Linked DNA regions of Mus musculus. The protein of the gene in region 1 binds, or shares a complex with, the protein of each later gene. Links are inferred from orthologs where the notes say so. Each region holds a gene or a part of one and is shown in the gene's direction. Other genes may lie near its edges.

What was found. Proteins that work in one complex are often made in the same cells at the same time.
Region 2: Yeats2 (region 1) and Mbip share a complex: the UniProt entries of both Homo sapiens proteins name them as parts of the ADA2A-containing complex. The link is inferred for Mus musculus from reciprocal best matches to the Homo sapiens genes YEATS2 and MBIP.

The regions. Positions count from the first base shown.
Region 1 is NC_000082.6:20,220,761-20,225,091, forward strand, and holds part of Yeats2 (YEATS domain-containing protein 2), read left to right. Parts: intron 1-900; exon of another isoform or gene 901-913; coding exon 914-993; intron 994-1,979; coding exon 1,980-2,181; intron 2,182-4,331. UniProt on the Homo sapiens protein: Chromatin reader component of the ATAC complex, a complex with histone acetyltransferase activity on histones H3 and H4. YEATS2 specifically recognizes and binds histone H3 crotonylated at 'Lys-27' (H3K27cr).
Region 2 is NC_000078.6:56,339,074-56,343,404, reverse strand, and holds part of Mbip (MAP3K12-binding inhibitory protein 1), read left to right. Parts: intron 1-995; exon of another isoform or gene 996-1,049; coding exon 1,050-1,169; intron 1,170-2,801; coding exon 2,802-3,020; intron 3,021-3,107; coding exon 3,108-3,204; intron 3,205-4,331. UniProt on the Homo sapiens protein: Inhibits the MAP3K12 activity to induce the activation of the JNK/SAPK pathway. Component of the ATAC complex, a complex with histone acetyltransferase activity on histones H3 and H4.

The DNA.
Region 1 (4,331 bases):
CATTGTGTGTATGTGTGTGTATCTCTGAGTGTGTGTCTGTGTGTGTGTGTCTGTCTGTGCGCGTCCACACATGCATGCTCCCTTCCTCCTTCTCTGTCCACTTACATTAAAACTCAGAATGTTAAAGCTAGAACTGGGCAGTTCAAGAGCATCTGTTACAGTTTACAGGGAAGGACACTGAAGCCCAGAGTGTTGCTATGGCTTACCCAGGGCTACCTAGTGAGCTGGTGGCAAGGCCAAGCCCCTAGTTCACCTCTGTTGCATTCTTTCATCTGTTGCCTTTATCCAGTGTTGTTCCGTGAGAAATATGTCACACAAAGCAAGTAGGGGACCAGTAAAATGGCTCAGAGGGTAAAAGCTCTTCATCTACAGGAAACCTGCATAGAACGCCACATCGCAGAGCCAAGTATGTTGGTGCATCCCTTTAACACCAGCACTCAGGAAGCATAGTCAGGCAGATCTTGAAGATGAGTCCAGCCTTGACCACTAATGGACTCTGTCTCAAAAAACCCCAAAATACAAAAATTAATCAGTCGATAACTAGAAAGAATTCAGATTACAATGGCACATGCATCTATAATGCCGGTGCATCTTTACCAGGAGGTGAGCGGCAGCCACAAGAGAATTGGCCAGAAACTTGTGGTTAGCCAGCCTAGAACCCACAACTTAGCAGATATGGGCATTAAATCTGAGTCTCAGAAAGGTGGAAGAAAAGAACTAACCCTCAGGAGTTGTTTTCTTACTTCCACATGGCATGCAGAAACCCTCACTTACGCACATACATCACACATGCAGAGTAATAAATTTTTTATATTATTTTATAAAAGGAAATCAAGGAACTTGGAAATCTACTAACAATAACTTTTGTTCTAAACAATCACTTTTATTCAGAGTTTGCAGTTCTCTGTTGTAGGTGATGATGCCAGCTGTTTTTCTGCGAAGTCCTTGGAGCAGTATTACGGCTGGAACATTGGGAAGAGGAGAGCTGCTGAGGTGAGGTTGCTTGCCGGACAGGTCTGCAGCCTGCACTGAAAGTCAGATGCACAGTAGAGGAGGACGCTTGCGTGTTCTTCCTCTATGGACAAAAGGAGGCAAACTTGCCTCTTTAGGTGGTAGACCATTGCTCAGTCAGAAACTTTGTTCTTCTGGATCCCAGATATCTCTTGAAGGCTTGTCTCCTGTACCAGGAAAAGCATCTTATATTTTCTTTGAAAATCTTAAATATTTTGGGATTGAATAGTTAGCTCAGCAGCAAGATGGCTGTGATCACAGAGAACGTGGGTTCATTTCCCAGCACCTGAATAGCAGTTCACAACAATCTGTAATTGCATTTCCAGGGGACCTAAATGCCCTCTTTTGGCCACTTTAGACATGGGGGCATGCACGTGGTGCACACAAGTACACATAAAATTAATATTTTTAAATTTGTAAATTTCAAAATAATACTGAATTCAGAGTTTTACAGAGTACTTACAACAATGTTGCCAAATGCAGTTGAATCTTGAGAGAAGAAAGTGTGTGCCGTGTAGCTGGGCACCAGCGGAAGCTGGGTCATCCATCGAATTTGCTTTGGGGAAAATGAAAAGTTGGTTCATGACCAGGTGAAAAGCCTTAAATGCAGACATAGAAGTTTCTGTTGTATTTTGTAAACACTAAGACCGATAGTAACTCTTTTTATTACATGTAAAACTGTTATTGTGTATGTGTGCATGTACACACATGCACATTCTCACATGCATGCCACTGCACATTTGTGAAGCCTGGAGGACGTGACGAGTCAGTTCTCTCCTGCAAATCAGCTTGTTTGGCTTGGTGGCAGGCATCTCACTCTCTGAGCCATCTCACTGGTCCCAAAACAAGTCGTCCCTTTGTTGCTAGAGAGTGACAGAATCTGATTTCTTAGTTGCTTGGTTTATTTCAGTGCACGACTGTTGATTTTAAAGTTCAAGGATTTAATTTTGGATCAAATCCTTTTTAAGTGGCAAAGAGCAATGACAGTACGAAAAGTGTTACAAGAAATCCTGGAGAAGAATCCAAGATTCCACCACTTGACTCCCCTCAAGACCAAGCACATTGCTCACTGGTGCCGCTGCCACGGTTACACCCCACCAGACCCCGAGAGCCTGCGACATGATGGAGACTCCATTGAGGATGTGCTGACCCAGATTGACAGTGAACCAGGTAGGCCTTAATAGGTTGCCCCAGTGTGGAGCGTGTTTGCCTCCTGTCAACCCCTACAAAACACTTGGCTTCAGTGTTCTTGCCTTCAGTTAGGGGTGAGGGAGAGCTGGTCTAGATGACAAGACCCTTTCTTCTTACCATGACCCCTTTCTTCTTACCATGACACCCCAGACAGCACAGCCCTTCAGAACTATACCCAAGTGTTTAAGGACCCCTAGTAGGCAGGTCAGGCCTACTACCATCAAAATAGGCCAGTGTCTTATGGATGTGGTACTGTACCCCCAAGCCTGGAGAGGGTATTGGGGACACATGAGAATAATCAACAGTGTTGTAGGAAATATAGGAAAGAAACAGACAACTACTAAAGAAAAAAATTAGAGGCATGAAAGCATCTGGCTATTCCTTAAAGAATAAGAAGGGTTCAGCCATGTTCTTACAGACATCAGAATGCCCCACCCCATCTAGGTAAGTCTTGTTTTCTGTAGAAAGCTTCCTGGGACCCAAGTGCTTAGTGGTCTTTTCTCTCATTTCCTATGGTATATACTATCTGTGCTGAGAGGGTTTGTTGACTTCTAGATCTATGTCCTTGGTGGGCAGAGACCATGTGATTACCTCCAAGTTTCACTGGTGCTCTGTACTATATTGAATAGGGAGAGAGTGAGCAGCCTTGTCTAGGGCCTGATTTTAGTGAGATTGCTTCAAGTTTCTCCCCATTTAGTTTGATGTTGGCTACTGGCTTGCTGTATATTGCTTTTACTATGTCTAGGTATGGGCCTTGAATTCCTGATCTTTCTAATACTTTTATCATGAATGGGTATTGGATTTTGTCAAATGCTTTCTCAGCATCTAATGAGATGATCATGTGGTTTTTGTCTTTGAGTTTGTTTATATAGTGGATTACGTTGATGGATTTCCATTTATTGCACCATCCCTGCATCCCAGGGATGAAGCCTACTTGATCAGGATGGATGATTGTTTTGATGTGTTCTTGGATTCAGTTTGCAAGAATTTTATTGAGTATTTTTGCATCGATATTCATAAGGGAAATTGGTCTGAAATTCTCTTTCTTTGTTGGGTCTTTGTGTGGTTTAGGTATCAGAGTAATTGTGACTTCATAGAATGAGTTGGGTAGAGTACCTTCTGTTTCTATTTTGTGGAGTAGTTCAAGGAGAGTTGGAATTAGGTCTTCTTTGAAGGTCTCATAGAACTCTGCACTAAACCCATCTGGTCCTGGGCTTTTTTTGTTGGGAGACTTTTAATGACTGTTTCTATTTCTTTAGAGGATATGGGACTGTTTAGATCATTAATCTGATCCTGATTTAACTTTGGTACCTGGTATCTGACTAGAAAATGGTCTATTTCATCCAGGTTTTCCAGTTGTGTTGAGTATAGGCTGTTATAGTAGGATCTGATAATGTTTTGGATTTCCTCAGATTCTGTTGTTATGTCTCCCTTTTCATTTCTGATGTTGTTAATTAGGATACTGTCCCTGTGCCCTCTAGTTAGTCTGGCTAAGGGTTTATCTATCTTGTTAATTTTTTCAAAGAACCAGCTCCTGGTTTGGTTGATTCTTTGTATAGTTCTTTTTGTTTCTATTTGGTTGATTTCAGCCCTGAGTTTGATTATTTCCTGCTGTCCACTTCTCTTTGGTAAATTTGCTTCCTTTTGTTCTAAAGCTTTCAGGTGTGCTGTCAAGCTGCTCATGTATGCTCTCTCCAGATTCTTTTTGGAGGCACTCAGAGCTATGAGTTTTCCTCTTAGGACTGCTTTCATTGTGGCTATGTTGTGGCTTCATTTTTATTTTCATTAAACTCTAAAATGTCTTTAATTTCTTTATTTCTTCCTTGACCAAGTTATCATTGAGTAGAGTATTTTTCAGCTTCTACGTCTGTGTGGGTTTTCTATTATTGTTATTGAAGATCAGCCTCAGTCCGTGGTGATTTGATAGGATACATAGAATTATTTCAATATTTTTTTATCTGTTGAGGCCTGTTTTGTGACTGATTATATGGTCAATTTTGGAGAAGGTACCATGAGGTGCTGAGAAAAAGGTGTATCCTTCTGTTTTAGGATAAAATGTTCTATAGATGTCAGTTAAATCCATTTGTTTCATAACTTCAGTTAGTTTCACCATGTCTCTGTTTAGTTTC
Region 2 (4,331 bases), on another chromosome or scaffold:
CTAAGATAACTGCATTTATTATTGAATATGAAAGTAATCCATCAGCACATGTCTTGGTTTTTTATTCTTACAGCTCTTTAAATTTGTATTTGAGCTCATGAAACATGCATCTTTACTTTGTAGAAAATATGACATAATTTTTAATAAATTATTATTGCAAAATAAGTACAATTGACTTGTTTCCACTTGAATTGTGTCTAGCAAAGTTTATAGTGATTCCCTTATACTCAGTCAAATGTACAGGTGGAAGCTTCTCCCTCTAAAGTTTTGACTGATTTTGATATTAATTTTATATTCTTGGTAGTGTTCTGGATATACTTTTGTTCTAATAAATCACTACCTGGTGAGAAGTTTCCGTGTTATGAGACATATCTTTCTAGAAAACCCTTAGGAAACACACTGGACATTGACTTTTGGCTTCGTTGTACTGCTTTGGGAAAGTACTTGGTTTTTATCTCAATAATTTCATAACTGATAGTTTAATTTTTATTTGAAGTAGTTACTGTCATCTGTCCCTATGTGTGAATAATCTTAAGTCTTAAATACTTTTTTAATTAGCTAAGTTTGAAAACAATAAAAATAATTGAGAAGACATCAGAGTAATGATATATTTTAGGCATGTGTTTGTGTGATATGTAACAAAGAGAATACACTTTCTGGACTGTCGTAGTTGATCTTCGTCTGTTGAATGCCTAGTTGGGATTCAGTAGGATTCTGACTAGGGCAGATCTATTTTTGGATACCTTCCAGTGGTCTTTAAAATATCAAAGTATCAAAAGAGGTTTATCTTTCATGGATGGCTTTTCAAAGATGGCCCCAGGAACAGAATTAAAATAATAAGACATGTTTTTACTTTTTATTTTCAAAACTGTGCCTTTTGGCTTTTTAAAATGGCAACTGGGTAAAGCATTTTATTATGTCATTGAAACTTAGTAACTTTGAGCAAAATAGGCATGCATTACTCCATAGAAATCTTATTTTTGTGATAATCCCAGATATACAGCTTAATCGTGTAATTTTTGTGATGTTGCTGGTTTGCCTCTTTGAAGCTTAACCTCAGAGATGATGTGGTGAAAATTACAATCGATTGGAACAGGCTCCAGAGCCTCTCAGCATCCCAGCCTGCACTGCTCCTTACTGCACTTGAACAACACGTTTTGTATTTACAGGTAAATTTCATATTAGAAATATTTACTGGATATTGAAAATAGAAATTACCTATAGTTAAATTAACTGGAGTATTTTTCAGTTCTACCTCAACATTCTGTTAACAGTATTATTAATAAAAGGTTATTAAAATCCATATTGAGTCTAGGTCTGTTAATTTCACTAGTGATCGGAATAGTTATGAGAATATAGCCCAATAGGCCAATGTGGGTATGAGATTGAATAAATGCAATTCTATTCAATTCTAGGCTTTGCTGAAAATTCAATACAGTTCATCTATGGTGGGTTATAATTAAGCAATAAGACACGGCAGGTGTGAGTCATGCTATGATAATGATTCCATGCCTTGGGTGAGTTTGGAGGCTCATGGAGTGCTTTCAGTGGTTCAAGAAGTGGCATTATCCCAGCATGATACATCCTGGAGTGTCTATTGCAATTAAACAGTTTCAGCATAGTTTTTAAAAAGAAAGTAATTTCTGTGACATTAATGTTTCATCTTAGTGAGTAGCCAGTCACTATTTCATCTTAATAATTTGAAATAATTTATCCTTTATTGGAAGTCAATATTGAATTATTTATAATGGTATTGTTACATTTTTAATATTTCAGTTTAAGAAATGAACAGTATTATAACCTTGCTGTTGTTGTTTAACATCTCTGCGAGTGTAATTGATGGGAGTTGGAGGTTTTCTCTCATCAGGATAAGCAGAACTGCTTTTTCTGGTCACTTTACCCTGTTGAAGATGTTAGAAGATTTCAGAAGAGTACTTTCTGGGATGTTTAGCTGTGTTTCATGATAAAAATAACAGTTAACACTTTGTTTAAAGGGCAAGTGATGAGCTATAGAACTCAAATGTGGACCATATCCAGGTGGGGATGACAGGAAAGGAAGTGAATTTCCATTATGAAGACATTTTTTTTAACCTACTGTAGTTGGAATGATCTGTTTCCAACGTGTATAGCATGTTTTGTTTTCTTTCTTTCTATCTACCTATCTTCCTTCCTTCCTTCCTTCCTTCCTTCCTTCCTTCCTTTCTCTTTCTTCTCCCCGTGTGCATTTTCTTTTGTGAAATTTCATTTCATGTCCCAATAAGATATCATACTATGACAGAGAAAGGCTGACTATTCACTCAGGGTAACACCTATATACTTCATATCCATGCTCTCTCATTCATTTTGGCCAACTGTACTTTGAAGTGGAGAGTCTCAGCGATACAGTGATAATGCAGGGCTTTGCTGAGTGAGCACTGCCCTCCTGCTAAGGAGGGAGAACACTCAGCCTAGTGTTCTGAATGACATGTTAATTAAGAGGCATCCAGGCCAGAGTCTGAGGCTTTGATTTAGCACAAAATAAAAGATGAATGACAGAATGATTTCCTCAAAGAAAAATTTAAATGTCCTCAGGTTTTCTTTCTTTTCTTCTTTTTTAAAAATAAATGTACAGTAAATGATAAGGGCAATGTACAGTAGTAGAAAACAGCAAACCTGTGTGTGTTAAGATCTGTGTGTCCTTGTATGCCAGCTTTTTATGTTTAATAACTGATAATATTCATTTCTGTAGCAGCAGCTTAGATAAATCTATCACTAGCTGAGATGAGTTTGAACCTGAACAGATGTAACTGTGTTCTTTCCAGCCTTTTTTAGCAAAACTTCAGTCTTTAATGAAAGAAAACTCAACAGCTACAGAGATAAGACAGACAGAAGCAGAGACCAAGAGTGAACTAAGAGCCATACATCCCACCGAGGACCTACAAGATGAAGGGAAGCCCAAAGACTGTGATGTAGGAGATGTGAAAAAGACACAAAACCTTTTTGACCCAGAAGTAGTTCAGATCAAGGCTGGAAAAGCAGAAGTGAGTGTGGACAGGTACACGGGTCAGGGTAACATTACTTTGAAAAGTTCTGTTGTGTTTAGATTGTTAAATTATTTGTTGTTTTAGATTGACAGACGAATATCTGCATTTATTGAGAGAAAACAAGCTGAAATCAATGAAAACAATGTCAGGGAATTTTGCAATGTTATTGATTGTAATCAAGGTAACTACAAGTTTTTTTTTTTAACAGAATTTTAAACATCTTGACAACTGCTATAATATTTTGTTTTAAAAACATATAACATTAAGAACAAGATTCTATTTTGCAGGTGTTTAGTTGATAATTAAGGTAGTAGAATTTTCCTTTATTTAGTAATGGGCTCTGTTGCCAAACTGATTCTCATTTTGGTTACATAAAAAATCCAAGTGAAGGCCGAACTCTAGAGACAGATGTTTACCACAGGTTCAAGAAGATCAGAGTTCCTTTAGAAAGTGAAGGTGAACCAGCGAACCTAGTAGCACTACTTGCACCCCTCACAAGGGAGCAGTTTTCTCCTGACTCCTGAGTTTCATGGTGGATACACCCAGCTTGCCATGAAGTCCTGTGGAGCCTCAGCCCCAGGCCTCTCCCTTTTCACACTGCTGTCTCACCTTTGCCGTTTCGCCTCTGTCTCCCTTTCCTCTTCGTTTGGGGCTACAGTGTTTCCAGGTCTGCAGAGGACCTGCAGAACCCCATAGACTGTGTAGATTGCCACAGATCATAACCAGTTAGCTTTGTAATAACCAGACTGTAAGTAGTTCTTAGAAAAAAATTATGAAAAAAGGTTTGTAATTGGGTTGACCATTTTTTTCTTACTGCCATTAATATCTCTTAGTTAATGATTATAAACATGAAATTGTCCGTTGAACCTGGAAATGACTCATAATCACATTGATATGTGACACTCTTAACATAATAACGTGGGCTTACTGTGGATTCTAAATTAAACTTTTCTGCTTTAGCTTGTGTGGATCCCTAGAATTAGCTCTTTAGAGCAGGTGTAACAGTGGAAAATCTCAGGTGTGGCAATCCAGCTGTACACGCCTCAAGAGAAAGGGTTTGTTGAGGGAGCAAGGACATGTGTCACTAATGTTATTCCTCTGTTCCTCCTGCTAACTCTATTATTATAAACCACCAGGGGATAGAAATTGACAAGAATTGAAATGCTCAGCAGGACTCCTAAGCCCATTCAGTCCTTGCTGGCTCAAAACAGTGCTAGCCAGAATTGCTGTGGAGAGTGACGAGCATTCCCTGTCCCCACACTATGCTGCATGCTCTCTGATGGCTCTGTGCATTTGCAATGTAGCCCT